Drosophila melanogaster: one gene and its partners. The protein of the gene in region 1 interacts with the protein of each later gene in a pairwise test. Each region holds a gene or a part of one and is shown in the gene's direction. Other genes may lie near its edges.

Evidence for each region.
Region 2: the proteins of Drsl2 (region 1) and CG11007 interact in a two-hybrid assay, tested with the Drosophila melanogaster proteins (one large-scale study listed by BioGRID).
Region 3: the proteins of Drsl2 (region 1) and Vkor interact in a two-hybrid assay, tested with the Drosophila melanogaster proteins (one large-scale study listed by BioGRID).
Region 4: the proteins of Drsl2 (region 1) and hoka interact in a two-hybrid assay, tested with the Drosophila melanogaster proteins (one large-scale study listed by BioGRID).

Annotation. Positions count from the first base shown.
Region 1 is NT_037436.4:3,310,701-3,317,729, forward strand, and holds Drsl2 (Drosomycin-like 2), read left to right. Parts: upstream 1-3,648; 5' UTR 3,649-3,674; coding exon 3,675-3,887; 3' UTR 3,888-3,981; downstream 3,982-7,029. Other genes in the region: ZnT63C (zinc transporter 63C), read left to right, coding at 1-6, 72-196, 1,030-1,127, 1,186-1,702, 1,815-2,049, 2,115-2,312; Drsl3 (Drosomycin-like 3), read left to right, coding at 4,334-4,549; Drsl4 (Drosomycin-like 4), read left to right, coding at 4,937-5,152; Drsl5 (Drosomycin-like 5), read left to right, coding at 6,135-6,344.
Region 2 is NT_033778.4:19,499,553-19,507,963, forward strand, and holds CG11007 (uncharacterized protein), read left to right. Parts: upstream 1-3,515; 5' UTR 3,516-3,635; coding exon 3,636-4,451; 3' UTR 4,452-5,042; downstream 5,043-8,411. Other genes in the region: CG15120 (uncharacterized protein), read left to right, coding at 67-238, 349-498, 567-727; CG16926 (uncharacterized protein), read right to left, coding at 972-1,087, 1,164-1,307, 1,377-1,500.
Region 3 is NT_033778.4:16,773,796-16,781,359, forward strand, and holds Vkor (Vitamin-K epoxide reductase), read left to right. Parts: upstream 1-4,569; coding exon 4,570-4,739; intron 4,740-4,794; coding exon 4,795-4,889; intron 4,890-4,944; coding exon 4,945-5,138; 3' UTR 5,139-5,199; downstream 5,200-7,564. Other genes in the region: Arp53D (Actin-related protein 53D), read left to right, coding at 467-554, 608-1,755; resilin, read left to right, coding at 6,753-7,564.
Region 4 is NT_037436.4:4,895,509-4,904,289, forward strand, and holds hoka (hoka), read left to right. Parts: upstream 1-3,391; 5' UTR 3,392-3,488; coding exon 3,489-3,534; intron 3,535-4,768; coding exon 4,769-4,852; intron 4,853-4,906; coding exon 4,907-5,187; 3' UTR 5,188-5,361; downstream 5,362-8,781. Other genes in the region: CG13705 (uncharacterized protein), read left to right, coding at 1,408-1,410, 1,482-2,777.

The DNA of each region.
Region 1 (7,029 bases):
GTGAAGGTAAGTTACTGGCTTTTACCGAAAAATACAACGTGTATCACTCAGCTAACTCCTTATCTCGACAGATGTCACCGAAAAAGTGGTCAAAGAACACTTTTGGCTGGGCCAGGGCAGAAGTCTTGGGTGCTTTGGTCAACGCCGTTTTCCTGGTGGCCTTGTGCTTCAGCATCACCATCGAGGCTTGCAAAAGGTGAGTGCGTTGTGATCAATCAAATAACATTGTTTGCAGAATGTACACTACTAAGATAAGCTGCAATAGAATCAATTTTGAAACATCTGCTCGCCAAGCGAAAATCTCTACTCATTTATATGAGTCATTACATGCTTAAATAACAAGCAAAGTACCAATCGAATGATTAAGCGGCTTGGAGATTGGTTTTGTTTATATTCCTGAGAAAAAAAAAACCAAAAAATATGTTACAATGGTGTCAGCATACTATTAAATTCTGTATAAATTCGATTAAAGTTTTATAACGAGGCTTTTAAAACTCATTGCTTATTAAACGTGGCTCTGAAACTAATTAACTTGGATTACTACTCGCTTACTCTTTACTCCTTGGCCGCAACGCAAATGGTTTTAATATTTCGACTCATTACGGATCGTTGATCCGCACCCAAAAACCACTTATTTAATGATCTGACAATTGTAAGCCAAGCCGTATTATGAGCAAAAGGCTTGCCTTGGCATCGACATGTGCTAACGTGATTTGTTTAAATTTTCTTGACTTACTCCGTCTGTGAGTTAATTTGTTGTGATACATTCACGTTATATCGTCACATTTCGGTTTGTATTTGTGCATTGGGTTGTGTGAATTATACGCTTTGTTCATTTACATTCCGGTCACATTGTGTGCATATTTATCGAACGCTTTGCGAGGTGATTATTCTGCCAATAGCTACAGATTCCCTGCAGAAGCCAGCTACACTGTCGAAAATAATAAACTAACATAGGATTTGATGAGTGCTTTCGTTATGTTATCTTAATACAGTTTAAATAAAACAATACATTTCCATTTATCACAGATTCATTGAGGAGGAGCCGATTCACGAGCCTGAACTGCTTGTCATCGTGGGAGCCTTGGGTCTTCTGGTGAATGTTATTGGACTTTGTCTGCTTTACGGTAAGACCAAGTAATACAGATAAGAGTAGGCCGTTCTTTAACTTCATCTGCATTGCAGAGCACGGCGGTCACCATGGACACTCACATGGCGGCGGACTCACCCGTAACCACAGCCGCCTCACTGAGTTGGCCAACATGGACGAGGGCGAGGATGAGCAAAACGACTTTGCCTACGAGAAGCAGAAGGAAAAGGCACCGGTCAAGAAATCCAGCCATGGACACAGCCATGATCCCGGCCAGATGAATATGCGCGGCGCCTTCTTGCACGTTTTGAGCGATGCCCTTGGCAGCATCATTGTCGTAATCAGTGCTGTGGTGGTGTGGAAGACGGAGTGGAAGTACCGGTACTACATGGATCCCGCTCTGTCCATCGTTTTGGTTGTTTTGATCCTGCACTCCGTGTGGCCGCTGCTGCGCGAGTCCGCTTTAATTCTGCTCCAAACGGTGCCCACCCACATCCAGGTGGATGCCATTCAGAAGAGGCTTCTGGAGAAAGTTGATGGCGTGCTGGCTGTGCACGAGTTCCATGTGTGGCAACTGGCCGGCGACCGCATCATCGCCTCTGCCCATATTAGGTGAGATTTACTTGTTAAAAGAGTAACTGCCTGTTTAAAAAGAAAAATTAATTCTATAACCATTTATAAATCAAATTAATGCAATCTAATCCATCTCTCGTAAACCTTGTAGGTGCCGTAACCTTTCGGAGTACATGAAGATTGCCGAAAAGGTGAAGGAGTTCTTCCACAACGAGGGTATCCACTCTACCACCATTCAGCCAGAGTTCAGCGAGATCGAAGGCTGCAACATGTCCGATGGCACCTCCAGCATCAACATCAGCGGCTCCGACTGCTGCGCGTTGGATTGTCCTACCACGGAAGAAGGATGTGTCAAGGCCACGTGCTGCCAAAACAACAACAAATTGGTGAGTTCATCTAGTCTAATGGGAACATGTAGAATTGTATAATGAAGTATAAACCTTAATTACAGAACCAACTGCCCTCACCCACCAACTCGCCGTATCTGTGCCGCCAGCGGAATGCCGCCCGACAGGCCGGCGATGTGGAGGCGGGTTCCCTGCTGGAGGCCACGTCCAGTGGCAACCAGGGAGCCACTGGTGGGGCCAGCACAGGAGCGCCCGTGGCTGCGATAGGGGCCACGTCAACGCCGAAGAGCGATTTGGTTTGACGACAGCCACATCAGGCGCAACAACATGTACACTTTGCCACGACCAAAACGGAAACCGCAACCGCAACAACAAAGGCCGCCACAACAGCAGCAGCAACATCAATACGTGATATAATGTACGAGCCACGCGCCAACAACCTAGTGGTCTCCAGCGCACAGGTGGACGTCAATCTCGGCCTGACGGTGACCGCCCAGCGGCGACGGGAGCTTCAGTTGCAGGCCGAACAGCAGTATCAGGAGCAGGTGTCACCACTGAGTACCAGGAATGGCGACGAGGTGGCACTCTAATTAGGAGCCTAGTTTAACGTTAATTGTGCAAACCGCTGCAATGGAGACTGGTCTGCCATGGTGCAGCTTTCGTGTTTTTTTGTATCATTATTTGTTCTTAGTGGAATTTAGGCGTAAATGAGAGTGGGACAAGTTCGGTCGATTGACCATTGAGCTAGTTTAATTAAAGTGAAATCAAAAATGAAAATGAAAATGAAGAACACGATTATCTATTAGTGCGGGAGACACAAAGTTTAAAGGAACATGCTGTTCAGGATGTCATTCATATACTATATAGTATGTTAAACCTATTCGATTGTAGTTAATTGCATTAGTTTAGATCGATAAGTGAGCCCAAACAGCAGAGAATACATATGTACTACGTTTTTTACATTTTGAGAAAGTTTATACATACGTGAAATAAATTATTGTATTCAATAGTTACCCACGGATTAGCAAATGACTAAAGACAGTTTACAAAATACATAGGTATACACGCATTTGTGTTTGTGTATGGTTAGACATAGTCCCTAAATCTTAGTAGTTGTAATGCTATATGTAAATGTTTTTACCACAACCGAGAACCTAGTTTCTATTTAATTTTAATCGTATCGAACTTTATAATGACTATACATTTAATGCAAACATCATGTATTATTTTATGATCTGCATTAATTTTCAGATGTATATGTTTGTAAATAAACGCCAAACATAATTAGACCAAGCGAACTAACTGTATACAATTTGATAAAATGCCTCTTTGGAGTCGAAATTTTCGATACAATCAGGGGTCACTGGTACTTCCTGATTCCCTGATTCATTTTATCGATTGCAGCAATGGGCAAGATTGCGAGCTCTGCCTCGAGTTTCTTGGAAGCTTATCGAATTCAGATAGGAGCACATGTGTGACATCAAAGTTGAGGCACCTAGCCACTGAGCAAATGCATCACAAAAGATTTTGAAACGTGCTAAAAAAGATTATTGGAAATGCATGGAGGTGGTGTAGTCCTATATAAGCGTCCCCACAAGCTGTCGATACCAAACGTCTTCGAGAACTCAAGTAAAGTACCAGACTCGTTCGGAACATCAGTTGCAATGGTGCAGATCAAATTCCTTTTCGTCTTCCTGGCTGTGATGACAATTGTTGTCCTGGCCGCCAATATGGCTGATGCCGATTGCCTTTCCGGCAAATACAAGGGTCCCTGCGCCGTCTGGGACAACGAGATGTGCCGACGTATTTGCAAGGAGGAGGGACATATCAGTGGCCACTGCAGTCCCAGCCTGAAGTGCTGGTGCGAAGGATGCTGAATCCATACTATATCCATTTGAAATGTGTATATTGAATATTTCATTCTAAACAAATAATATATAAATATAAAGGCCTCTTACGCTTATCACTCATACGCACTGTTGTCTTTTAATTTCCTGTATGGCAATGTGTTAGGAGAAGTGAATGTTTACATACATCATTAAATCGAAAAGATAGCAATTCTAGGTAAATAACTTATTATGATAACGATGCATTTTTAAATCAATGAAGTTGACACATGGCACACATAAATCAAGTGTTTCTGGAAAACTAGGATTATATCGGTTATTGTTAGCTTGAATTTCCGAGAAGCTTATCGATTGCTACGATCAAATAAAAAATCTTAAAATCTGTATCTCTATATAAGCGTCCCCACGAGTGGTCGATGCCAAAAGTCTTTAAGAACTCAAGTAAAATTCCCGACTCGTTGAAAACATCAGTTGTCATGGTGCAGATGATATTCCTGTTTGCTATCCTTGCTGTAATGACCATTGTCCTAATGGAGGCCAACACTGTTTTGGCACGTGATTGCCTATCTGGAACTTTCGGAGGTCCTTGCTGGGCCTGGAGTGGAGAAAAGTGCCGCCGTCTCTGCATTGAGGAGGGACATGTCAGTGGACACTGCAGTGGCGCAATGAAGTGCTGGTGCGAAGGATGCTAGATCCACTGCAGTTCAAAAGTGCATGCTGTTTTTTTGTTTATTCTGAGCCAATAATAAATATACTGTACACCGCACAGTAAAAGGCACGTAAGCATTGCCTTTCAGGAGTTATCTCTTGATTTGATTTAATATGTATGTGGTAAGTATATTAAACAAAAAGGTGCATCAACATCAAGAAGGTATAGCAATTCTATCATCCCAAAATAGCGATGCGCGTTTTGTCGCGTAAAAGGCCCAAAAGTATGCCTTTCGAAAGTTATATTGCAGTTATTTGCATTTTCACCTTTATGCTAATCGGTTAATATACAAATTCTGTACCTATATAAGAGTGCAGTCGGACTCAAGAAACTCAAAAGTAAAGATTTTAACCAGAAGAACATTCTAATAATGGCTCAAATTAAAGGATTGTTTGCTCTCCTCGCTGTGGTGACCATTGTCCTAATGGTGGCCAACTCGGCTTCGGCCGTGGATTGCCCATCTGGAAGATTCAGTGGTCCTTGCTGGGCCTGGGATGGAGAGCAGTGCCGTCGCCTCTGCAGGGAGGAAGGACGTGTCAGTGGACACTGCAGTGCCAGTCTGAAGTGCTGGTGCGAACAATGCTGAGGATCCTCATCGTCCAATATGTTTGACACATATGTGTGTCATATGTTTTTTATTGTTTTGAAAAGAAAAATAAAGAATATACTTCACAGCAAATAATACAGTTTTATTTCTACTTAAAGAACGAATCCTTTTAAAATCATAAATTTACTTCGAAAATGAGATTTATAATGGAATGGAAGAAATAATTAAATGATAAATAATCAGAGTTAACTTCAATAGAAAGCTAAAATTCATTTAGAAAGAAGTGGAATATATAATTCAACTCATAATAAGCATTTAAGAAAAAAAAAGCATAGACTATTTCAGTCTTAACAAGAGTTGGAAAGGCCATTTTCATTTATGAACACAAATCTTCATTTACCAGCACCCATATCACTTTATGGGAAATAAAGATAATCTTGTCATGTTAATATTTCCAACAAATTATCAACCGTGTTACATCGAAAAGTGCAAGTTTGGTGTTTGAATCCGGTTCTGGGTTTTCCTAACAAACTCGACAGTTTTACAATTTATGAATAAATTTAATTAATGAAACTGGTTTAATTAGTTTCCTAGAAGTCTCGTGATAAATGGCACATTGCATAAAATCAATGTCGGCAGATTATTAATAAGCCATTTTTAATTTTCCATTAGAAAAACTACGCATTCTTACTCAACTGCTAACTGAGAAGATGGCAGTGAAACTTTTTAAAAAGAAAACGAAATTTCATGCGACTTTTCTTAGACACTTACCGTAATGATCATTATCTCGAAAGAGAATACTTTTTGAAGTCAGTTTTCGTTGTCTTATCAGCCCTAAAGTATGCCCTTCCATGAAATACAATTCAATAATTATCTCCAATTATCTGCCAATCAATTCCAGAAATACGACGAAGCTGGCAGAGAGATCCCGATCCCTATATAAAGCGGTTGCTGGGGGTTTGGACTCATAAATCAAGTTCGAATTGTTCCGACAGCAGCACTCTGATTCAAAACCGACAACATGCAGATCAAGTTCCTGTACCTCTTCCTGGCTGTGATGACCATCTTCATCCTGGGCGCCAAGGAAGCCGATGCCGACTGTCTCTCTGGAAGATACGGAGGACCCTGCGCCGTCTGGGACAACGAGACCTGTCGTCGGGTGTGCAAGGAGGAAGGACGATCCAGTGGCCACTGCAGTCCCAGTCTGAAGTGCTGGTGCGAGGGATGCTAGGCCATCCTTCAAGGCGCGTTGCTCTAAATTGCCGGAAAACTACTAAATGTTATAGTTTGTTGATAACTATAAATAAATATTAAATATATTATTGCAACGCAAATGATTATTTCGTACTGGTTCAACTGTGATACTAACTATGTGATACTAAGGTATTTAAATGTACGTACAAAGGACGGATAAGGATTGTTCCTTAAAAATGTTAATATTAACTGATGACGTACTCGAAAAGGTTTTCTTCTATTCTTATTCATTACAAAATATATGAATAAGTACATATAAATATATTCTCAATTAAAACTAGCTAACACCTTAATTCTCTGACTTAGTCTGTGAAGTATTGAAAATTTAACGATATTTTAAAATAATTTGTTTTTATTCAGATTGTAACATGCTTCAAATACTGCTTAAGTTATTCTATTTATAGGATGAATAATTGCAGAAAATAGAGCGCTGCGTACAGCGATACTATATGATGTAATCTGGATTATTTATCTCTCAAGAATGCTTACTGAAACTGTGGAAGTAGCTTGCAGGACAGCATGCATTACATAGATAGGTAAAACGCAGAATACTAAAATAATTAAATCTCTGGTTAGACTAGGAACTTCTGGGAAACCCAAGGGCGTGCACTTAATACAGATGTCACTCATCCATATTCCATAGTCTATTATTAAAGCAATTG
Region 2 (8,411 bases), on another chromosome or scaffold:
AACTTGGAGCGGCTCTATTCACCTTTGACCCGCCAACGGTGTCACCTCTTCCCGTATCTCGCCTAGGTGGACATTGAAAAGCTGGACTACAGCCTCTATCTGCCGCTCTTCTTCGACGGACTGGCGGAGACGAAACATCCCTACAAGACCTATGCCCGCCAGGGGGTCACGGATCTCCTCTTGGCCGGGGGCGAGAAGATACACCCGGTGATACCGCAATTAATATTGCCGCTGAAGAGTGAGTACCAGGGCATTGGCTGGCACGCAAATGCCTCGAAGTTTTTCGGTCTAATTTGCACCTTGCCAATGCGAGCACAAAACCAAAACCAAATACGCCCCCATTTGCAGACGCATTGAGCACACGAAACCTGGAGGTAATGTGCACGACATTGAAGATAATCCAACAGCTGGTCATGTCCTCGGATTTGGTGGGACCCGCCCTGGTGCCCTTCTACCGCCAGTTGCTGCCCATGTTCAATGCATTTAAGGTGAAAAACTGTAGGTATTCCACTAAACTCGATTACTTCCAGTAACTTCCATTGAAGTGGATATTCTGTGCTGTATAGTAAACTGCGGCGATGAGATCGACTATGCCCAGAAGAACAATCTGAATCTGGGGGATCTGATCGATGAGACGCTGCAGGTGCTGGAACTGCATGGCGGCGAGGATGCCTTCATCAACATCAAGTACATGGTGCCGACCTACGAGTCCTGCTATTTAAATTAAACTACGCCTCATGGTCTTGTCCCTTTACATACAATATCATAAGTATTTATTGAATTTTACAAAACATTACAGCATTAAATAGATATTTGTTACCAAAGTGTTATGTGCGTTTAAATCGATATATGCTTGAGATTATAGTTGTGTATATATAATATATAATTGATTTTGACCAACATCCTGGTGGGGATGCTAGTCGCGTTTGGGGCACGTCAGCTGGAAGCGAACGTGGCCCCACTTTAGGTCATCACTTGGTGGGGGCGTACTCGTTCTTCTTCACATTGTGGGGGGAATAGCGATTGTACAATCCCCAGATGGAGTTCATCAGCTTGTCGTTGTACTTGTTGGGCGAGTACTCGCGTTCTGGAAATGCAAAATTGATGCGTATGAGCTCCATTGACCCAGCGGATCGAGATCGTGGATCGTCATGTGCACTTACGGGTTAGGGCGTTCCCGTTGTCAACGGAACCCTTATCTGCGGCAGCGGACCTCAGACGGGCGATGATCAGCTCACGTTCGTTGAATTGCTCGCGAATCTTGCAGGCTGCGAATGCACCTTGTGGAATGGCGGCCATCTTAACAACTGGAGGCGGAGGAGGAGCATCAAAAGTTAGTTATACATTGTAAATACATGGCTAAAATCACCACCCACCACTTAGGGAAATAACGCTCAGAAGGGAGATGATGAAGTCAAAGTTTCGCAATGGGCTTGTATTCCAGCACTCGGTGAAATGCTGATCGAGATTGATGATTTTTCCGCACTGCTGCAGCAGCATTCAAAGGCCAAACTGAAAGTCCGGAAAAAGTTTGTGGGATAGGGGATATTTCGCTTAGATCGAAATGTGTCCCAGTTTCTTTGGTTTTTGTTTTTTATCACAATTTCAACTATGAATCAGATTAGGCCAATTGGAATGGTTAGCTTTGCACGATGGATTTGGCATTTGATGCCTGTCGTTTTTTCTGGGATTTGCTCGATTGTCTGCGATTGTCTATGTCTGCTACTCGGAGATGAACACTCAGCACAAGGGTTCGGATTTAAACTGAAGACGTCGCCTGGCTGGGAATGGAATTTATAGAACGCGTGTTCGGATCGGATCGGTTCGGCTCGGAGCTGCCGCCAAGTGATAAGCGGGAGACAGGAGATCAGGCTGCCTTGATAGCGCGATTATAAAGCCGGCAAGTGATCGCCATTTTGTGCCACTTATCAGTTGCAGTTGTCATTGTTTTGGTTTTGCCTTTTTTTTTGTCATTTCCACACACAAGCCTATTTGTTTCCAAGCTCTACGGGAAGTTTCGATGGGGCTGGGAAGTAGATTTGTGTACTTGATATGGCTATCAGAGCCCTGGATCTATAGACCAGTTTTGCTTTTTAGCCGCAGCCAAGATGAAGGGCTCTCGTTCCCATCACGAGTGTCCCTGTACTCAAATGGCTGACAATCTTACGAGACTTTATTCCAAACCAGATTAATCCGGCTGCCAACACACTATAGCATGCTGGCAAAGGCATTTGTGATTATAATATTATTAAAAACTGACCTAAGTGCACGTTGTTTACTGAAATTTTCACTTCATTTTTGTTTTGGCGCAGACAAGGTGCAAAAGCATCAACACCTTAGATTTGACTTTGATTAGTCATGATCTCGGATTTTCGAAATATTTTCTGTATTGATTCCCTATTTCATTTCTATCAAGTTGTACAAAACAGTGCACTTGAAAAAATCTTATTTTGTTTTAAGTTAATTGTTTTTAATATATTATTACCAAAGACACTAGAATTCTTATTCTATTGTCTTATTCTAGTGTCTTTGTTAATACTTTTTTTACTATAAAGTGAATGATTGGTTGAATTTAAATATAAAGCCACGAGAAAGTTGTTTGATTCGATAAGGAGGTTACTAATAACACAGTTGAAAATATTCTATAAATAGAAGCAAGCTCACTTTATTTGCCAGTGTATTGAACATAAAATAATCGCTGTATAAACAAAGAACGGCCTACTAGTGAAACCAGTAAAGAGGTGGGTGATCGATCCGATGGGGATCATGGAGATGACCCTCGTAAATTGGTCTCAATAATACGATTAAAAATAAATCGTTTAGTCCAGTGACGCGCACAGTGTTTACTACAAAAAAATTAATCTTTGCACAACGCGGAGAGTCAGCCACGATGGCGATAATACTGGTGATGCTCTATGAAGTGGGTACAAAATTCTCACAGTATTCACACAGTTCCAAACACATTTAATTTAGGAACTACAAAAAAAAAGGCCAAAATAATATTTGGGTGATAAGGCGACTGATGGAAGCCACGAGCGTCTGAGATCACGTAGAGAGCCAAGCTTTTTCGCAGATTTGAACTCGGCGTGTGTGCCGATAATGAAGATCCTCGATGCCTTTTTTTTACCTTTTTTTTGCAGTGGCCTTTGTGTGCTAGGTCAACAATCTCTCAATGACTTTAGCAAAATGCTGATGTAACAATAACTCGCTTATCAGTTTCGGTTGGTTTTCGGGCAAACAAATATGGTTGTCCCAAGTTCTGTTTATGGTTTTAACTTTTGATTAATTATCATTTAAAAAAAATGCTAAATACTAAATACTAAATACTTGTAAGATAATAATGCATATAAGTAAATAAAACGTATCAAAGAACGTTTAAGAAAGGCAAACTGTTAATTGATGATTTTGAATTTGAAAAGGCGCCAACGAACTAATACCATTTCCAGCACTGACAAGAGTGCCACTGTTCTTTTATCAGGTGGCAACGCCCGTGCCAGACAACTAGGCTGCTAATTTCTAGTCAACGGCGAGGCTAAAATTAACAATTGGCTGTCAAAAGCAAGAAAAGAAAAACTCGGGAAATTGTTAATTAAAATCGTGACCCAGATCAGCGCATTCAGCCCCCGGACGCAGAGATGACGTGGAAGAAGCAGATGGCTCTGCTGGCCAAGCCATACTACTGGGTTAACATACTCCTGGCCATATCGTACCTTTTGGCCAAAAAGACGCAGTTCATCTGCACCCGCCTATTTATTCTCGCCGGAGAGGATGAAGCATGCGACCTGGACAGTCGTGAGGTGGAAATCTTGTTCTTCCTGCTAATCGTGGTGATGATACGGTCACGCAAAACGGGCAGTGTCACCATGATTAACTACTTGGCCTCGTCGTTCCTCTACACCAAAGTGGCCAACGCCATTTTGTGGGCCTACGCGGACTTCCGCTACGGCCTGGGCTTTCTGCTTCTATGCGTCCTGGTGGGCATGGTGCTGCCGGAGCCCTCGTATCGCGGACCCGAGCACATCACCTACTTCCGCAACGCACAGGTCTTCGAGGAGGAATTGGCCAGGGACAAGCGAACCAGCTGGCTGATCTGCTTCTACACGGTGTGGAATCCCAGCTGCGTGAACTTCGCCCCCGTTTTTGCTGAGCTCTCCGCCGAGTACAACACGGACCACCTGAAGTTCGGCAAGATTGACATTGGACGCTTTCCGGACGTGGCCCAAAAGTATCGCATCTCGGACAGCAGCTTCTCCCGACAGCTACCAACTGTGATCCTGTTCCAACAGGGCAAGGAGACGGACCGCAGGCCCTGCGTCGATTCCAAGGGTAAACTGCAAAAGTTCTTCTTCTCCAGCGACAATGTGCGCGCCACCTTTGGCCTTAACCAGCTGTACAAGGAGGCCATCGAACGACTACCCATTGCGCCCAAGGAGGCCAAGAAGGTCCAGTAGGCTGTCCTGTCCACCACTGGTGCCATCTCATTTCTGCGTGCACGTGCTAATAACTGTTATTCGTTTAGTTCATAGTTTATTTTAACTTATTGAGGAGCTGCCACCGCCAAAGACACGTACAATTGCACTAATATTTGCATTCTAAACTCAGACGTGCTCTCGTCGCGATGCCATTGTAGAAAATATTTGTATGATCTTGCATTTGCATAAATTGTAGCTAATCACCAGGTACCAAATATATTTAAAAATGTGAAATGAGTCAACGAAAATACGCAGTTCTTTTTTAATTCCCAGCCGAGTCTAACATTTCATTCAATTAGCACAGCTCAAACGATCATTTCCGGTGCTCGTTTAAGAACAAGTAAATATTAAGATGGACTGGACAAGCGTAAATTGAAAGAATGTAATAAAGAACTTACGCTGTATACAAATAGCTAGTAAAATAGTGAAAATATAGAGAATGAATATATAGTTTCAGAAAGGTGCCCATACTGGTTTTCGGTACAAATGTATATAAAGTGTTTGTGACAACCCACAATTTTATGACATATTTATTGTATTTTATACGTTCTGACTTGCCGCTTAAAACAGAAACCTTCGTCGTATCCCCCCGGTTTATGAAATATAAAACCAAATGGGCCCGTTGTTGCTGCCAATGTGTTGAGCAAAATTGTATGGCAATGCAAATGGCACAACAAAAATGTTTCCGGCGTGTTGCGTTCTGTTCCGAAATGGCCCCGCAGACATCGGCCATATAGACAGATCGTATATGGATATATATATATATATATACATAAGAACCCAACAGGCCAGACGCAGAACGAAATAAACGCAAATCCCTTTTATCCATTCAATATGAACACACATACGTATAGAGAAACGGACGAATTTAAATGCATAAATACAGGCGACTGCACACCAATCACCACCCACCGCACACCGCCCACAACCACCCCCCACAGATGTGAGCAAGGCCTTTGTGGTTAATATTTGTATTTTTCTTTACTTTCATTGAAACGGCATGAAAATGGCCATTGCATTTTACGTGAATTGTATATGGTAAATAATGCGATTGTCTCACACGGCCGTTTTATTTGCGGAAAATTTAAATTCGCCATGGCAATTGGGACAAGATTCACACCGTCCTGAAGTAATTATGGGCCACTCTGTATCGCCCCAACTCAGCACCCGCAACAACCCAGACCAGTTGCCCCACACCCATTCCCACCAACCAGTAATGATTTCCAAAGGCTGTCACCCGCTTCTCACGACGAGAAATCCAATAAGCACTTGCTCCGCAGCGGCAACAAAACGCATTGTTGTCGCTATTTTCACGTTGATTTCCCTTATTGCCACGGGAAAACCGGTGCTGGCCACATTCAATTGATTTTGAGTGATTTTTTGGCAAGTACCCTGTACGTACACCGAACATGGAATCTTATTTAAGGGGAATATTGGTAAAAATAAGTAATAGGTATGTACGTTATTTTAAGGCTTTTGCTTTGAAAGAAAGATATCATTTAAAGTATATTCCAAATATTTTAAAGGATATTTTAAATGGTGATATGTAAGAAAATCATAGAATATATTTTCTTTTTATTTTTATTCCTTCCTATTTCATTTTACTGTGTATTGTTACGTCTGCTCCGTTTCGGTGGCAGTATTTTTATTGCGTTTTTATGTCAACACCAGCTGGCAGCGTCTTAATATCCTTCGGTCGAAGTGCTGGATTGGGTTCTTGTATATTTCTGTCAATTGCTCACAATTAAATTAAAATTCAAGTCAAAGCCAGCCGCCATTCAGTTTGCAGAAAAAGCCGCAAGTCAGGACAATTGAAGCCAAGCTCAGGTGCTTTTCCTTACTATTTAAAGTGTGGCGCTTAAAAGAGATTAAATAAATCAATTTGGTTTGAAATATCCTTGGGAGATATATTGCCCAAGAGATTTAGTATTTTATTTTTAAGTTACAATTGCCTATTTTATAGAGCTGATTTCTGAGGTAGATATTGGCTCGTTGAAGAACAAAACAACGATTCATAAAATAAAATCTATCTTAAACTCTTTCAATAAATGAAAGACAATGGGAATTTAAAATAAATTGTTACATTTCACATGCAAGTTGGCTAAAGGATTTTGTAAACTCCTTAAACAAGCGGTTAAACTCCTTAGTCCGATCTGATAAATACTTTTCGGATTAAAACACCTTTTGGTTAAAAAAATGGCCCAAATAGTGCACAGTAAAGTGTAATTTGTGCCTTGATTTCTTAGTTTATAAAATTAGGATCACACCAAAAAAAAAAGTAGATCCTTCTCCGTGACAATGCATATTGCAGCATTGCCGTGACCAGGATTCGAACCTGGGTTACCACGGCCACAACGTGGGGTCCTAACCACTAGACGATCACGGCTATGAAGGCACTTGAATTTACGAGCGTCAATCGCGTTCATAAGTAGCTATAGTATATGTGTGGCTAAGACTAAAGCTTAAGCTGGCGCTATTTGCCTGCATTTCTTTGCTCGAAAACAACTCGTTTGTGGAGCAACTACCGCCTCTAATCGCAGCAATACCCAGACCAGCAACAACCGCAGCAGTGAAAGTCCAAAGCACTCGAGCAAGACAGACAAAAGCCACAAAACCGACAAACCGTCAGCCGATAAACAAGATTTTGGCTCATAAATTAATTGGAATTTGCCAAGCCAGCACAAGTGGGCTTGCTGGGGGGCCAGAAAGTGGGCGTGTTGCTGGGCTTAGCGTTTCGATTGAATTCGGTTTGCTATCCGCATCGTTTTGCTGTTCGCAGGGTCGAAAATCCGGATGGTGGGTAAACGTTCCCAAAATAAACCACATACGAATAAATTTAGAACGCTACGAAGGAATTCATAAAGTTGTATATCTCTAGGTATTTAAAATATTTAGTTATTTGCTTTAGCAGTGCTAATGAATAATAGCAATTTGCTGACATTTTCAGGTAAGTTTTCACTACTTATTCTGAATCAGATTTTAACTATAACTTATATATGTTTCGTTTGACGAAGTTTCTTATCTAAAACTCACCCCATAGTGATAAGAACATACTACTCTTATCAGGCCAAAGACTAAATATTATATATTATGATCAATTAAGCAGATTGCAGATAATAAATATGCAACTGAAAAAAAATATGCCAGAAACACCATTTCATGTCGACACTTTTTTGTGTGCAAACACGAAAAGTCCATAGAATATCATAGCTACTGGCATTCATTAATTTCGCCATAAATAAAAATGTTTGCAAAATTGATGTCTGTATTCATCTATAACAGGGGATTAATACTTTGTTGCACCCTTGCGCTTCAATTAATTAATATAAAAGTCAGACATTTCGCTGGAAACAAGTACAAATATGAATATACGCGAACTTTTGCTTTCATAAAACCATGAACAGGTTTGGATTGCCGGCAACCAAAGCTCGCCAATTTGAACTTGTACAATCCAGTTTCATTATATTTTGAATTTAACGATAATGTAATTACCCTCAAGTGCAGAATTATTTCAATGGCAGTTTTGTTTTTATTCTGGCCCACTTGTAAAACACAGGTGAGTGTGTGTGTGTGTGGGTGTGGTGGAAATCGTCGTCGTTTTGTGCCGTCGAAACCCTAAAAAATTGAAAAGTATTTACACGAAAGCTGCCAATTCAAATACACATTCCCACACTCGCCAAGTCCTTATACAAATATTTTTTTGTGAATTTCGTGGCCTGTTTTTTGATTATAGAAAAAACTGGACGCTTTTTGTGAGCGGTGAAAGTACTTGCGCTCCAATAACTACACAAAGGTTGTGATGTGGGTTGGTCCGTTGGGAATCCGTAACAAAGTCCAGTTCGCATTCGCGAAAATATTTTTTTATAAGTGGCATATTACTTTCTAGGGTGTCCTTTTTATCGATGTGTTGGTTAGTTAGCGGGCTTTGGAATCTGAACG
Region 3 (7,564 bases), on another chromosome or scaffold:
GTTTTATTCGACTGCTAATAAGGCTAAGTCCCGATATCAGATTTTATATCAAATAAAACAAGGCTTACGTTCTCGTTATTTCGCTTGTTCTATTTGAACAATTTACTGCTAGAGATGAGCAGATGAGAAAATATCGAAAGACCCCAATCAGTCAGTGATGTGAGATCAACTTATATATATTGAAGTTAAATAGTAAAACTAAAAGAAATTAAAAACTATTTTTAATTGAAACATTGCACTGAAACATATTCAAATCATATTGAGGATTTCTTAAATATTTCTTATGTTTAAATACTACTTTAGTGACTATTAGCATATTTTAGCTGCTTACGTATCGACTGCATCCATTCGATTGATACTTGAATTAATCGATTTTTGGCCTCTGTATGTCATGGCGCTAAATTGGAAATAAACCATGAAATTAACGTCATAAGTTTAAAAATCCGACTGGAACACAGCACACAACATGTCTACATTTCAAATACCTTCCCGAATCAAAATCGATATAACAAATAAACGGGCACAGAACATTCTTCACAAATATCTACATTTACGTAAGTTGCTTAAATAAGCTAAAGATTTTATGATTTGACCATGATTCGTTCAGCAACCTCTCCTGGAAACATGAGCAGCGAGGTAGATAGTAATTCACACCACGCCGCAGTGGTTATTGACAACGGCTCTGGAGTATGTAAGGCTGGATTCTCCCCAGAAGATACTCCCCGTGCTGTCTTCCCGTCGATTGTGGGCAGACCTCGTCACCTGAACGTCCTGCTGGATTCCGTGATCGGTGATAGTGTTATTGGCGAGGCGGCAGCCCGAAAAAGGGGAATACTAACCCTAAAGTATCCCATCGAGCACGGAATGGTCAAGAACTGGGATGAAATGGAGATGGTTTGGCAGCACACGTACGAGCTCTTGCGGGCGGATCCAATGGATTTGCCGGCTCTACTCACCGAAGCCCCACTGAATCCGAAGAAGAATAGAGAGAAGATGACAGAGATTATGTTCGAACACTTTCAGGTGCCAGCTTTTTATGTAGCAGTTCAGGCTGTGCTCTCACTTTACGCCACCGGGCGTACTGTGGGCATTGTGGTGGACTCGGGTGATGGTGTGACGCACACGGTACCGATCTACGAAGGATTTGCCCTGCCCCACGCCTGTGTACGAGTTGATCTGGCCGGCAGGGACCTCACCGATTATCTATGCAAGCTGCTTCTGGAGAGGGGCGTTACAATGGGCACCTCTGCTGAACGGGAAATCGTGCGTGAAATCAAGGAGAAACTCTGCTATGTGTCAATGAACTATGCCAAGGAAATGGATCTCCACGGAAAGGTGGAAACCTATGAGCTGCCAGATGGGCAGAAAATCGTTTTGGGCTGCGAGAGATTCCGCTGCCCGGAGGCTCTCTTCCAACCCAGTTTGCTGGGTCAGGAGGTGATGGGCATCCACGAGGCCACCCATCACTCGATAACCAACTGCGACATGGATCTGCGAAAGGATATGTATGCGAACATTGTTCTCTCTGGCGGTACGACCATGTTTCGTAACATCGAGCATAGATTCCTGCAAGACCTAACCGAAATGGCTCCACCATCCATCCGAATCAAGGTTAACGCTAGTCCAGACCGCAGATTCTCCGTTTGGACGGGTGGTTCCGTCTTGGCCTCACTCACGAGCTTCCAAAACATGTGGATCGACAGCTTGGAGTACGAAGAAGTTGGTTCCGCCATAGTCCATCGAAAGTGTTTTTAGTTAAGGAGGGTGTTCAAATATTCGTTATGAGCAATGATTATTATATATTTTCTATTTGCTAATGAATGTAATTTCTTAAACAAATCTAGTCGATATAAAATAAACAAAACTGGGGGTTACCTACACAAAAATTAGTTGCATTTGGGAAGCACAAGGCCCATGTAACGCCCTTCTAACAGCACAAATGCAACACTATCTAAACTAACCGCCAGATTAACTAGCCCCCAGGTAAACTAACTCCCATATAAAAAATTCTTAGGTAAATTAATCCCTAGATCAAATAACCCCAAGTTAAATTAACCCGCAGATACAACATCCCCCAGCTAAAAACAAAAATCCTTAAAAAAAAACTCCCAGTCAAACGAACCTGGTGGTAAATTAGCAACAAGATAAAATAGCAATCATTGAACCAAACAAATAACTTCTAAACTCTTATTCTGATTAATTTCGAATGTTTTAGGCTAAATGAAAATACAAATGTGTTCGATTGTAACATCTCGGTGGGAATCACAATAACGCAGTAACCTTAACTTCAATTCAGTTGCACGTGCACCGGGCGACAACAAAATCCAAGTTTCAACTCTCAAAGCATTCGCCTTCGTAATCATAATTGTCAAGCTCCATCATTTCGCAGTCGTATGCACTTGGGCATACGATGCTTTTGTTTAAGAGCTTGACAAGATTTCGATCACGGATCTAAGCGTGGGGATTTGTTTAAACCAAACAGCACAACGCGTGCTGAAGACAGCAGCTGCCAAGTCAGCACGTCAGATTATAGGCATTAGGCATTGAAACTTAGCTCTTTCGATTGGAAGGTGAAGATAAGAACTTTATCCTGCCTCATAGATACCAACTTTCGGATCGCTTTCCAAATTCTATATAATGTTACACTCTTTGAGGGGTTCAATGTTCGAGGATCCGCGAGTGAATGTGTCTAAACTTAAGTTACCGTAGCACCATTAACAAAAATAGAATTCTATAAACTAATATTTTAAATTTGACATTTATATTCAATATCTGATGTCTGAGTTTTATAAAATTAAATTACTTATTACCTGATACTTTTGGTCAATGCCTAAGTTGCAAACGGCCAAATAATATATTCAAGTAATGTGAAAAATTAGCACGTCATTATGCTGCACTTTAATTCAAATTAATTGCGAATTTATTAAGCCAAATGATGCATACAAATGTGTGTGAGATTTCCACATCTGAACGCAGCAACCTTAGCTTCCTTCCAGTTGCACGTGCACCACCAGCACTGCCAACTACAAAAGCCAAGTTTCGATGCATTCACCTTAATAATCGTATTCATAATTGTCTAGACTCATCATTTCGCAGTCAGTTGCTTTTGGGCATCCAAGGCGCCTTTTGTTAAAGGCACTTCACCAGATTTCGATCACGTATCAATGGCAAACCTCGTTGGAGACAAATAACACAACGCGTGCTTGAGGAGATGCACCTGCAACATGGCATTAGCCATGTGTAGCCCTAGTTAAAAGTTTGGATTACCATTCTAAACTCATTCGAGATTTTTTCATCAGGAAGTTGAAAACAAAATCAGAACTCTTTACAACTGCATTGTTTGTGTTTGCCCATCTTGTGCATAAATGATTATCTACCTCAAATTATTCTTATTCTGCACTGTTTTTGTTTGAAGGTCGCTACGATAATAAAGATTAAGAGTAGTTATATATAGATATTGTGGTTTCGTTTGTATTGGCCCATTTCCAGTAGCACATTATAACGCAATCGAGCAGCTGAGCCCGGGTTTTGAGCCAGAATCGAATTGACAGCCGCTTGAAAGGGTTTTCCATATCAAATGGATATCTGTGCCAAGTCGCTGGCTGCGGTGACTGTTTTCATTTTTTTTATATGGCAAAGTAGCGAAGCCAAGGTTGCGTGAATTCATCACTTCACTTCACTCCTGGGGGCTGAGCTACTGCAATTTTGTAAATTGTTTCCATTCGGTTACCTCATGGCTAACGTGCATTTATATATCACTTTTGGATGGGCCCAGCTACTTTTGGGTATTTATTTTTTATTAAACACCCGAACATAGAATAATTCAAATTCGTGAGGCTATAAATTAAAAAGGGACACGGAACGAGCGAGTGGGTGGGCCCCAAAGATGGGGCCGCTGTTGTGAGTTGTATTCAACATTGTGTCATGCCGCGACTAGCGGCTCTACATGAGCACTCGTCTAGTCTGATTTGGCCGGGCAGAGATGTCTCTTGGTCGTCTTCGACTTGGATGATGTTGTCGCAGTCGCTAGTTTCATATGCATGCAATGGAGCGTGGCCTAATGCGATGTTGTTTGCGGCAGATGCATGTGCACGTTTGTCGGTTTAGAGGTGATAGTTCCCAGACTAAGGAGTTTCACCTTCTCCGGTAAAACCCACTTATATAGCTCGATTTGGTCACCAACCCCGAGTTGTTCTGTTTGCTTATAAATATTACCTGTTGCCTTTGCCCACCTGTCACATCAAATTAAATTGGAGCGAGAATTTATGCGAGCCCAACTGAGAAAACAAGGCGGATTTATTAGAGCAAGTCTAGACTTTAAATACCCTAACAAAAACCCTAACAGAACCTCAGTCGCATTTTTCAGGGACCCATTGAAAAATACATTATTTATAAAGCAAGTATAGATTTGTATTCTGTATAAGGTATATTATAAAACTAAGATACCCACAGTAAGTGTATCCTGTTGCCAACCTTATTGCGCAGCTGCGAACAGTGTTATTCCTTGGCTAACTAAATCTGAGCTGGAATATCCTGCTGCAATGAGCTCATTACCCAAGGAGCAACACAATGGAACAGGCGTACAGTACAGCTTCCCGACTGCGTGGGATTTGCGTTTGTGGATTGGCCATTTCGGTGTATTCACTGTATGTGAAAATGAAACTAAAGGAGGATGAGAACTATAGGCCAATGTGCGACGTTAACGATAATATAAGCTGCTCGCTGGTTTTTAAATCGGGGTAGGTAAGATTATAATATATACAATATAAATTTAATGAAATAATTTTCCATCAGCTATGGTGATGGCTTTGGTCTGGGTAACATAACCCAAGTAAATGCTCCCAACGGAGCCATCGGCTGTGCATTTTATATCCTGTACTTCTTGAGCTGTACGTAAATTTCTTAGTACAAACTAAACTAAATTTAATAAGCATTTGTTTTCAGCTTTCTTTAATCATCGTTGGCTGTGCCTGGTCCAATTGATAGTATGCACTTTGACATTACTTCTCTGCGTTTATCTGGGTTTCCTGCTGATTCTCGTGTTTTACGATTTCTGTTTGGTATGCGTGACCATCTATTTCATACACACATGGCTCTTTCAGGAAGTCCTAAGGCGATATAGACGCCTTTATATGTAAGATTTGTACAATGTTAAGACAAGCTAAGCAAAAATTATGAAGATAAATCCCTAAGATTAGTAGCTCAGTGAGTTATTTTAAACTGTCAACGTTTTATGGCGAATATCTCAATCTTCATCAGTCGTTCATTTTGTGACCCACACGTTTGGCTAAAAGCAGGATGCTGAGCCGGCGCATCTACCATTCCAACTCCCATGACCAAGCACGTAGTGGGGCAATTAATTCTGCACGTTCCCATTTGCCGGCGAAGGCTGTGATCTGTGATCCATAATCCGCGAATGGCGCTACTGCCAACAAAAGTTAAGTCGAGCTAGCCAAGTTAATACGGTGGGCGGACTGTGAAAACTCGACGCAATTAATTTCCCATAAGTTCGGGAATCCCTTTGTGTGGGCTGCTGTTCCGATTTGGTTGGGCTGAATAACTGAATCAATGGATGTGTGGAAATGTATACTGTGTGGATGCTGTATCGCATACCCTTGCAGATTTAAGTATCTATGATGAAAATAGTTTGAGATAATACTGATGATATTTAGCTATCTGAATCTTAACTTCATAGAATCTTCGTTTTAGCCACCTCACATATCTTGAATTTGCATCTTAACAACTCGCACAGATGATCGATCTTGTAGATTTGCCATGAAGATTATTAAGCTGTCATTTCGATACCACCAAGCTGCTCTGGATCTAGTTGGAACATAATCAATGCAATTAGTCTCAGTGATTCCAGTTTGCATATCATCTGCATACCCTTCATTTTCAATTGATTCTCTGATCCTCGAGGCATCGCCACAATCTCCAATCTGCGATCGATTCGACCCGTCTACACCCATCAGACGCATCTGGAGATCCTACACCCAATTGGGGTCGTCTTTGGCACGATCGTCAACAATGTATCGCTGGGCTTTTTATTATTATTTTTCCTTTTTCGTCGCTGACAAGACAAGGCAAACAAATGCAAACTTTGGCGCTTGTCATAGCAACCACTGAACCACTGGAACACTGAACCACTCGCTTGGGAGAGTGAGCCGCGGCAGACGCCGCCGACACATTCACCCAGTGGAGTAGACCGAGTAGACTACTTTGGGCCAACGCAACGGCGGATGCAAAAAGGTTTGGGGCCCGGGCACAATCACCACCTCGCCGCGCCTCGAGAAGATGTGCACCGAAAGAAGGCAAATCAGCCCGAGACCCAAGACCGAGGCACCCTTTACGTGGCAATCTGGCGCAGATCGGGGTGGTGAAGTGTTGGCAAGCAAGCTCAGTGATTGAGATTTTTGCTTTCGACCGCATAGAATCAGCCACCGCTTCTCTGAAGACGATCGTATGTGGCAGCCTCATCAGCTGCATCAGCAGCAACAGCAGCAGCAGCAGCTGTTGCGCTGGTTGCCACACGCTCCACAAAACCGCCACCTCCAACTCATAGTCGAGTTCGTGTGTGTGCATCCTAGACTTTCAGTTTTTCGGTTTTGCCTCATATAAATACGCCATGTGGCAGCTACCACAGATCAGTCAGAATTCGGCGCTGCTTCCAAGCGCTAGTCTCATCCCAAAGATTTCGATCAGTCCGTAGACCGAGCTTCAGTTCCAGCTTCAGCTTTAGATACAAGTGGAATATGTTCAAGTTACTCGGCTTGACGCTGCTCATGGCAATGGTGGTCCTTGGGCGACCGGAGCCACCAGTTAACTCGTATCTACCTCCGTCCGATAGCTATGGAGCACCGGGTCAGAGTGGTCCCGGCGGCAGGCCGTCGGATTCCTATGGAGCTCCTGGTGGTGGAAACGGTGGACGGCCCTCAGACAGCTATGGCGCTCCAGGCCAGGGTCAAGGACAGGGACAAGGACAAGGTGGATATGCAGGCAAGCCCTCAGATACCTATGGAGCTCCTGGTGGTGGAAATGGCAACGGAGGTCGTCCATCGAGCAGCTATGGCGCTCCTGGCGGTGGAAACGGTGGTCGTCCTTCGGATACCTACGGTGCTCCTGGTGGCGGAAATGGTGGACGCCCATCGGACACTTATGGTGCTCCTGGTGGTGGTGGAAATGGCAACGGCGGACGACCTTCAAGCAGCTATGGAGCTCCTGGTCAAGGACAAGGCAACGGAAATGGCGGTCGCTCATCGAGCAGCTATGGTGCTCCTGGCGGTGGAAACGGCGGTCGTCCTTCGGATACCTACGGTGCTCCCGGTGGTGGAAACGGTGGTCGTCCTTCGGATACTTACGGCGCTCCTGGTGGCGGCAATAATGGCGGTCGTCCCTCAAGCAGCTACGGCGCTCCTGGTGGTGGAAACGGTGGTCGTCCATCTGACACCTATGGCGCTCCTGGTGGCGGTAACGGAAACGGCAGCGGTGGTCGTCCTTCAAGCAGCTATGGAGCTCCTGGTCAGGGCCAAGGTGGATTTGGTGGTCGTCCATCGGACTCCTATGG
Region 4 (8,781 bases), 1.6 Mb from region 1:
GGGGCAATGTGGCAAGTTGGAGGGGCAGTGTCATTTTGATGATGATGATGCTGATTGCCAGATATAAATTAAATATGCACAGTAGTAGTATACAGCCTGGCTGGATATATTTTTTATGTGCGCCATTTACAAATGAATAAACGAAAGCCTAAAGCCCCACGAAGCGCTGTGTGAATATATTTGAAATTAAGACCGTTTTTTTCCCCGATTTGAGATGGCCAGGAAATAAAGTTAATGAAAGAAAGATATCGGTGTTTCGTGCGCAGTTTAAATTCGAATTACGAAGAATTTACACACAACACAAGGCTCAACAGGATGTAATACACGAATCATTTAACGTTAACCAATTGAACACGTTTCAGCATTATAAAAAGCACATTCCATTCTATTCTTATAACCCATCTACATATCAAACGCTTTTCGACAGACAGCCCCGCACTCGACACTCCCGCCAAGCCAATGCCATTGGCATCGTCAAGTGGTGCTCCATCATACATTCCCATCGCCAGAATGAATTCCTATTCCTCCGAACTATCGAACACGCTGTGAGTGGGAGATTGCCAAGCCATTTCAGCTTATCCGCAAGATTTATGGCTTGCCTGCCGCTCAATTGGAGCATCTACGCTATTTCGGCTTAAAAATATAAATTAAAAATTGGAAAAGTGGCGATCTCTTAAATCATTCATCTATTTATAGCCGCCTAATGGAGCGTGGCGAGCAAAAACCAAAAATAGCAACACTCGATGGACCATCAAGCGCGTATCAATCGAGATGGCGTATAAATACTTTCGGCCGATCTTGGCCTTAAGCGCTCATCGAGATCCGAGAGGCAAGAGCATCCAAAAATACATTGAAAAGCGGCGACTTCCGCTTGCAATTACCAATGGTAATGGATTGTCACAAATGTATCCGATCTATTCAAGCATATGGCAGACATAAATCGATGCAAATAATCGAGACAATCGAAGAGCCCTCGACCATTGTTCCATCTGCCTACGAATCTACAAATCTAAAATATCTACAAATCTGCGGACTTCGCCGGCTCGTCTTTGTTTACTTTCGTTTTGTCTTCTGGCAGCTGGCCGCGCTAATCATCTTATATGGCCAGCCAGAGTTCAATTGGTGCTTGAGACACTTTTTGACAATAGCAACTAGACAATCCAAATCTGAGTTCGGCCCCAGTAGAAGAAGCCATCGATCGATGCGGTAGTTCGCCGCTTGTTAACCGGTTTGCTCAGCGATCATCATAGCTCATCTCAGTTCATCTGATCTCGCAAAGTGAATGGACATCGGTCAGCCGAGAACTTTTCGCGCAGTTTGTGTATAAATAGTGTCGTTGGGTCTGGTTTGAAAACAGAATCAACTTTGGATTAATCTAGCAGACATCGTCTTGGATCTTCTGGAAAAATGGTTAGTTCTCCAGCAGTCATCCTGCGACCAGGACTAACCCATAACCCTCTCCTTCGCTTATTGCCTTGCAGAAATTCTTTGTCATTGCCTTTGCTGTGATCGCAGCTGCCTCGGCGGCCTCCATTGCCACGGATTACCTGCCGCCAGTGGACAACAACCTGGAATCTGCCTCCGAACTCGTGGAGGTGCCCGCCGAGCAGGGAGTTCTCTCCGACGATGGATACCGCTACAAGACCGTGCGCCGCCTGAAGTTGCGCCACCGTCGTGATGTGAACGAGCTCCCCTCCGGTGAATACCTGCCCCCTGTTGAGGAATCCGCCTCCGAAGCCGTTGCCGTCGAGACTCCTCTGGCTGATGATGGCTACCGTTACAAGACCGTCCGCCGTGTGATCCGTCGTCGTCGTGATGTCTCCGAACTCTCCCCTGAGTACCTGCCCCCTGTTGAGGAGTCCGCCTCCGAGGCTGTTGCTGTCGAGACTCCCCTGGCTGATGATGGCTACCGCTACAAGACTGTCCGCCGTGTGATCCGTCGTCGTCGTGATGTCTCCGAACTCTCCCCTGAGTACCTGCCCCCTGTTGAGGAGTCCGCCTCCGAGGCTGTTGCCGTCGAGACTCCCCTGGCTGATGATGGCTACCGCTACAAGACTGTCCGCCGTGTGATCCGTCGTCGTCGTGATGTTTCCGAGCTGTCCCCTGAATACCTGCCCCCTGTTGAGGAGTCCGCCTCTGAGGCTGTTGCTGTGGACACCCCTCTTGCTGATGATGGTTACCGTTACAAGACCGTCCGCCGTGTGATCCGTCGTCGTCGTGATGTCAATGAGCTTCCTTCCGGCGAGTACCTGCCCCCCGTTGAGGAGTCTGCCTCCGAGGCTGTTGCTGTTGAGACCCCTCTGGCTGCTGATGGATACCGCTACAAGACTGTCCGTCGTGTGATCCGTCGCCGTCGTGATGTAAACGAGCTGTCCGCCGAATACCTGCCCCCTGTTGAGGAATCCGCCTCCGAAGCCGTTGCCGTCGAGACTCCTCTGGCTGATGATGGATACCGCTACAAGACCGTGCGTCGTGTGATCCGTCGTCGTCGTGATGTCTCCGAGCTGTCCCCTGAATACCTGCCCCCTGTTGAGGAGTCCGCCTCCGAGGCTGTTGCTGTGGAGACTCCCCTGGCTGATGATGGATACCGCTACAAGACCGTGCGTCGTGTGATCCGTCGCCGCCGTGATGTCTCTGAGCTGCCTTCCGGCGAGTACCTGCCCCCCGTGGAGGAGACCGCCTCTGCCATCATTGATGTGCCCGCCGAGCAGACCGTCCTGGCCAGCGATGGCTACCGCTACAAGACCGTCCGTCGTCTGAAGCTCCGTCGCCACTAAGCCGCCGATTGCGCCAACTCCCACCGCAGCATTTGAGATTTTCGAGGATGTTTTTCCAGAAGAAGTCCTGACTTTGACAGTCTCAGATTGAAACTAACAATAAGTCGAGCGTATTAGTCAATTTGAATCCACTATGAACAACCCGAGTACAAACCCGAACTTACAATAATAAACATTTTTAAAACAAATATCCTACAACTACTATATCTTTTTGCAGAATATTTTTAAATATTCGAACTATCTTTTAAACAATATGCCTAGGATTGGGATAAAGCTTATAAAGTCGAAGGAGTTGGTGAAAAGATTTTATAAAAATATTTTTTAAAATGGGCAATAAATAAAGAAGACTCTTATTGTCCTTCGATAGTACAGATATAAAATATTGTGTAAGGACTTGAACTCAACGAATTTTGCATATTGAACATGTTAGGCTTAGAAATATAGGAGACATTTTAGATTGAACATAAATGAAACTATTTTTTTCAGTGCTGATGACCTCAGAAGTAATATATAGCGGGAGAAAAGAGAGCCTTCTAATCTTATCAATGAAAGATAAGGTGCTTTGAGATAAGATACTAGCACCTGCCGACGAATGCAATCACGCACAGGTTTTTAGTTCCACTTTGGAGTCGACGACGTGCGCGTTACAAACTTGGCTAACAGCTAAAAGCGAACATAAGTTTTTCGAAAGAACCGACGAAAACGACGGAAATGAAGTTGGCTAAGAAGTGCTCCACCTACTTGGTGATATGCCTGGGTAAAGTTCTGCATGCTCGTTCGAATCTGCCGAGTTTTGAGTGCCAACTAGAGATACGCAGCACACCGGCGAGATACTTTTTGGTGCATGTGTGTGGGCGGAGTATTGTGCATGTGTGAGACTTTAACGCATTATGATGCACTGATGCATCCGTATGATTCCATAGGTGTGGGGTTTTAATAACCCAACTTCAGCAATTGGAGACTCTAACGATGAGTAACTGGGCCAAGTGTGCGTCACACAATCAGGCACAAGAAAACTCTACAAAAATGTGTGCTTATCAGTGCGATTCAGATAAGCACTGTGTTTACTCATTGTTGCCCCATCACTTGGTGTGCTTAACTTTAGGGCGTGGTGAATCAGTGAGTTCAGAGGGAAATCTTTTTGGATTGAAAGGTATCCCAAATAAAACATATAATTTAGCTGGCAGTGAGTAAATGCGAAATCATTTCCTTTGATTTCATGCAATTTTTATTAGGCCAAAAGTCCAATGCCCTAAAACCGGAAGTGGCATAATTATTGCGCATATAAATTATGAAATATGTTAGACAAAAAAGTGAATGAAAACAATTAATATTGGTTAGCGGTTGGCCAACGAAAATCGGTCGCACTCTTAGCCACATACATTTGGCGGATGGGTTTTGTCAAATGCCTGTCTCCATGAATCACCGACTAATCGAATCGAGGAAAAATCTATACACTTTCCATATCGACAAACAAATCCATTTAATATTTCATACGCAAAATATGCCGAATGAGCTGAACGAACACACACATAAAATATTATTAATTAAAAATACATTTTGATAATTTTACGTGAAATCGAATCTGACATCCGCAATGGAACAATGGGGAAGGAATATGCCAGCTCACATTTATCATCGAAGAAGTTGGCGCGCGCGCGCTATTTTGGCTCAATCAGAATCAGCGTTTTTTGTTGATTTTGGCCCGGCTCTGTTGTTAAACATTTTCTCAACGATTAATTGTTAATATCTTAACAAGTCTTCGCGCATTTGAAGATCTATATGATGAATGGTCTTGCTGTTATTTCAATGAGTTCCGTTTGGCTTGGGTTTGATGGATGCTTCAAAGCCAATGCCGCAATCTTACCAGGCCACCTTCGACCACACGCCGCGTGATCATTGAAAAAATGTGTATGATGTGTGTTTTGCGCCTCGGACGAATCACTATGTCTAACAAATATTAAATTTGTATATTCTTTTCTATTCTGTAGTACTGTTGGCCTGCTGCCTGCAAGAATCGGAGGCCACGCGACGTGTGAACCGCGGACGACGCACCCTTACCCGCAGATACTTCAGTAAGTGATGCCGTATACGTGATCGATATTGCTCAACATTGTTATTTCTTGCAGCTGGCCTTGCTATTCCCGGATGGGCTCTCATCGTTTGTGTAGCGGTAGGTGAGCTGCTGATTGGTGGAGCCCTCTACTTCATCCTCAAGAAGGTGATCCTGGACAAGGAACCAGATCAGACGGCGGCCTCCTACACGCCCGCCCAGACTCATGCGACGGCCACACCTTATACTCCCGCCCAGACTCACGATCCGGCCACGGCCACAACCTATACTCCTGCCCAGACTCATGAGACGGCCAATGTGACTCCCACTCCAACGCATGCCACCGCTATTGTCTGAGGAGATGTGTACAGATCCAAGTGACCACTTTTGGTTCATAACCCTTTCCAAATCAGTTCAAATTCCACCATTAACTAGCTTTATTGTCATTTAATCGACACACAAATAGAACCTGTGCCCTTTGTCTACCTTCATTTTCGAATAAAATTATTTGCCACTTATCTGGCGCCAAACTAGCTTCACATTTGTACGGTTAAACGGTTTTTAAGACGATACACGCTGGCTTTTAACATTTTATTGCACCGGCTAAGCGGCCCAATATCCGCCCAAGACCGATCCAGTTTGTCTACTCATTGTCTGCACCACACGCAACGCTAATTTATATCTAATTAAATCAAACTGGTTTTGAGTTTTGGATTTTTCATAGCCCATGCTGGGGATGAAGATTAATTAGATGAATAGATTTGTAAGCAAATTAATGCCTACTTTTGGGGCTGCGGAAATACTAGCTATTTTCAAGCTACACCCAATATAAAATATCAAAGGGTGTACGGATTATGAGCGGAGTCACCCGGTGCTTCAGCTGTCTTAACAGCGGATTAACATTTTATATATCGATGCTAATTGAACTGAACTGTATTCTTTCTTTCTCCATTGTAATTTTGCGGTCATAGCGATCAGACGTGATTTTTGTATATGAAGAAATAAATGAAGTTAAATAGTGTATATATGATTCTTATTTGCGAACCCCATTACAATGATGTCAAAGCAGTGAGGCATCACAACTATTCATTGGTGGCCCATGAGGGGAACCTTGCTCATAAGAATCATAATTAATAATTGCTAAAAGCTGTTTGGCAATTTTATCTTCGTGGTCGGCTTCATCCAGATAAATCACCGTGCCTACGTTTTCTATCGCGCTCGCTCTCATCACGACAGAGCAGTATACGCAAACGTTCGCGCTCGCTCTCATCACGACAGAGCTAAGTCCCGTTGCCCTTCGATTCCGTTAGATTTGCCGGAATCTCTGCCAACTCAAAAAACAAGACGTCAAAGAAGAACACCGATAACATACGAGCATTTGTGCATATTACATACAGTGGAGCAACGTCAGTATAAACAATGTCGAAATTTGATCAACTGGTGCGAGTTCAAACTGACCGCATTGAGTCTTTGAAGCGCTTGTTCAGTAATGTGAAAAAAGACTCGAGTGCGCGGAAAACGGAAATATATTTCGAAAAACGTTTGAATCAAATCGACGAGTTTAACAAAGAATTTCATCAGGCGCATCACACACTTATATGCATGGCAGACTACGAAGAAAGTGTGTATAAGCAACAAAATACAATCAGCCAATTCGAAGACCTGGGCATGGAAGTTTACTGTTTCGTGGCCGAAGAAAAGAAACGAATTTATCCAGGCACAGTGACGCACAACGAATCAGCTAACTCTACAATAACAACACATGTAGAGGAAGTACGGATACCACTGCCAAAATTACCAGTTCCGAAATTCTCTGGCAACTGCGCGGACTGGCCAAGTTTTCATGATGCATTTTTACGCTTAATTCACAATAATGAGCGTCTGGATAAGATTCAAAGGTTCCATTTTTTAAAGGAAGCATTACCAGTAGGCCTGGACAACGACATTCGCCAAATCGCTTTAACTGAAGCAAACTATGAAGTCGCTTGGACCACACTTCTACAACGATATAACAACCCACGAATTGTGTTCGCCAGCCACATGAACATGCTCTACAACTTACCGAATCTTTCGAAAGAAAAATCTGCTGACATACGGTCTATGGTTAGTACAGTCAACGTCTGCATTGCCGCTTGCAATACCGTCAAGGCGCCACTACAGGGAGGAGATTTTTGGTTGACTCATTATCTAACAACCAAACTACCCAAAGACACTCACACAGCTTGGGAGCATCATCTGGGCAGCAAGATTGACGTTCCTTCATACAAAGATCTGCAACAGTTCCTCAATGATCGACTTGTTACGTTAGACGCTATTGAAAGCCGTAACGCGTGCAGCGGCATGAAACAGTCAAATGAAACTTCAGACGGTACTAAACGCGTGCGTGTGCACAGCGCCCACACCAGGTCGGGTGCTTCCGCGTCCGCTTGCTATCATTGTGGCAACTTACACATACTTCGAAGATGTCCGCAATTTCTTTCAATGGATTGCTACCAACGGAAGGAAGTGGCCAGCAAGGCAAAATTGTGTCTCAATTGCCTGGGAAAATCGCACACACAAGCAAGCTGCCCCAGCAACAAGAATTGTCTTCATTGTGGTCAACGTCATCACACGATGTTACATTTTCCAGCAACACAGCCAACGCTGATACCCTCCTCGACATCATGCCAAAGTTCAGCAGCCAGTTCAGATGCCAAGCCGACTCTACAGTGCATGTCAACTACAACTTCATCTATGACTCATCGAAAGGTACTACTAGCAACAGCTCGGGTTGTACTCAGTAACACACAGACAGGATGCCAGGCCACGGTAAACGCGCTTCTTGACCAAGGATCGGAAGCAACTATCATTTCGGAGCATGCTGTACAGTCTCTCCAGCTCTCCCGAAGCACAACTCGCACTTCAATCACCGGAGTCGGTCAAGATTCAGGACGACGCTGCAAATTCATCGTAAGTTGTTCGGTGCAAACAGCAACTAACCCAAATTTCTCGTTAAAGGTCGACGATGCTTATGTTTTGAACACGTTGACATCACACATGCCAAGTCAAAGTTTTCCAGCAGGAAACTGGAGTCATATCCATGGTCTCACGCTCGCAGACCCCTATTATTATAGATCCAAGCGAATCGATATCATTTTTGGAGCCGACCTTATGGCACAACTCTTGTTGCCTGGAACTAAGATTGGCTTGCCAAACGAACCCATAGCGCAGAATACTCAACTCGGATGGGTTCTGTTAGGCAATGTTGGCAACACGCATATTACACGCCACATTCGATGTAATCATGCCATAATAAACTCCGAAGAGCTGCTTAAGGTATTTTGCGAGGTAGAATCAGTTCCAGAACGCCCAAAGCTCTCCAAAGAAGATCAATGGTGCGAGTCTTTCTTTAAGCAGACCCATCAACGTCAACCAGACGGCAGTTATCAAGTCCGTTTGCCATTCAAGAGGAACTTTGACCCCAGTATGACGCTCGGAAAATCTCATCAGATCGCCCTGAACAGATATCTTCAACTCGAAAGGCGCCTTCAAAGGGACCCAGACAAATGGATCAGATACTGCAAAGGAATTGAAGAATATTTTCAACTAGGTCAAATCACGTTGGCAGAGACGAGCGAAAACTCAACCATAACCACGGATTCCTACGGTCGGCATGTTGCATCATGCGTGCTACCACATCATGCAGTTTTCAAAGAAGAAAGCCTCACCACAAAACAACGTATCGTTTTTGACGCATCGGCCCGGACCTCAAATGGCAGATCGTTAAACGATGTACTATGTGTAGGTCCCACGCTGCAAAATGATCTGCCAGCCGTTCTCTTGAATTGGAGACAATATCAGTTTGTTTTCACTGCCGATATACAACGAATGTATCGCTGTATCAATGTCCACCCTGATGACACGCAGTACCAGAGGATTTTATGGCGGGCGGCGGATGGAGTCATCAAACAG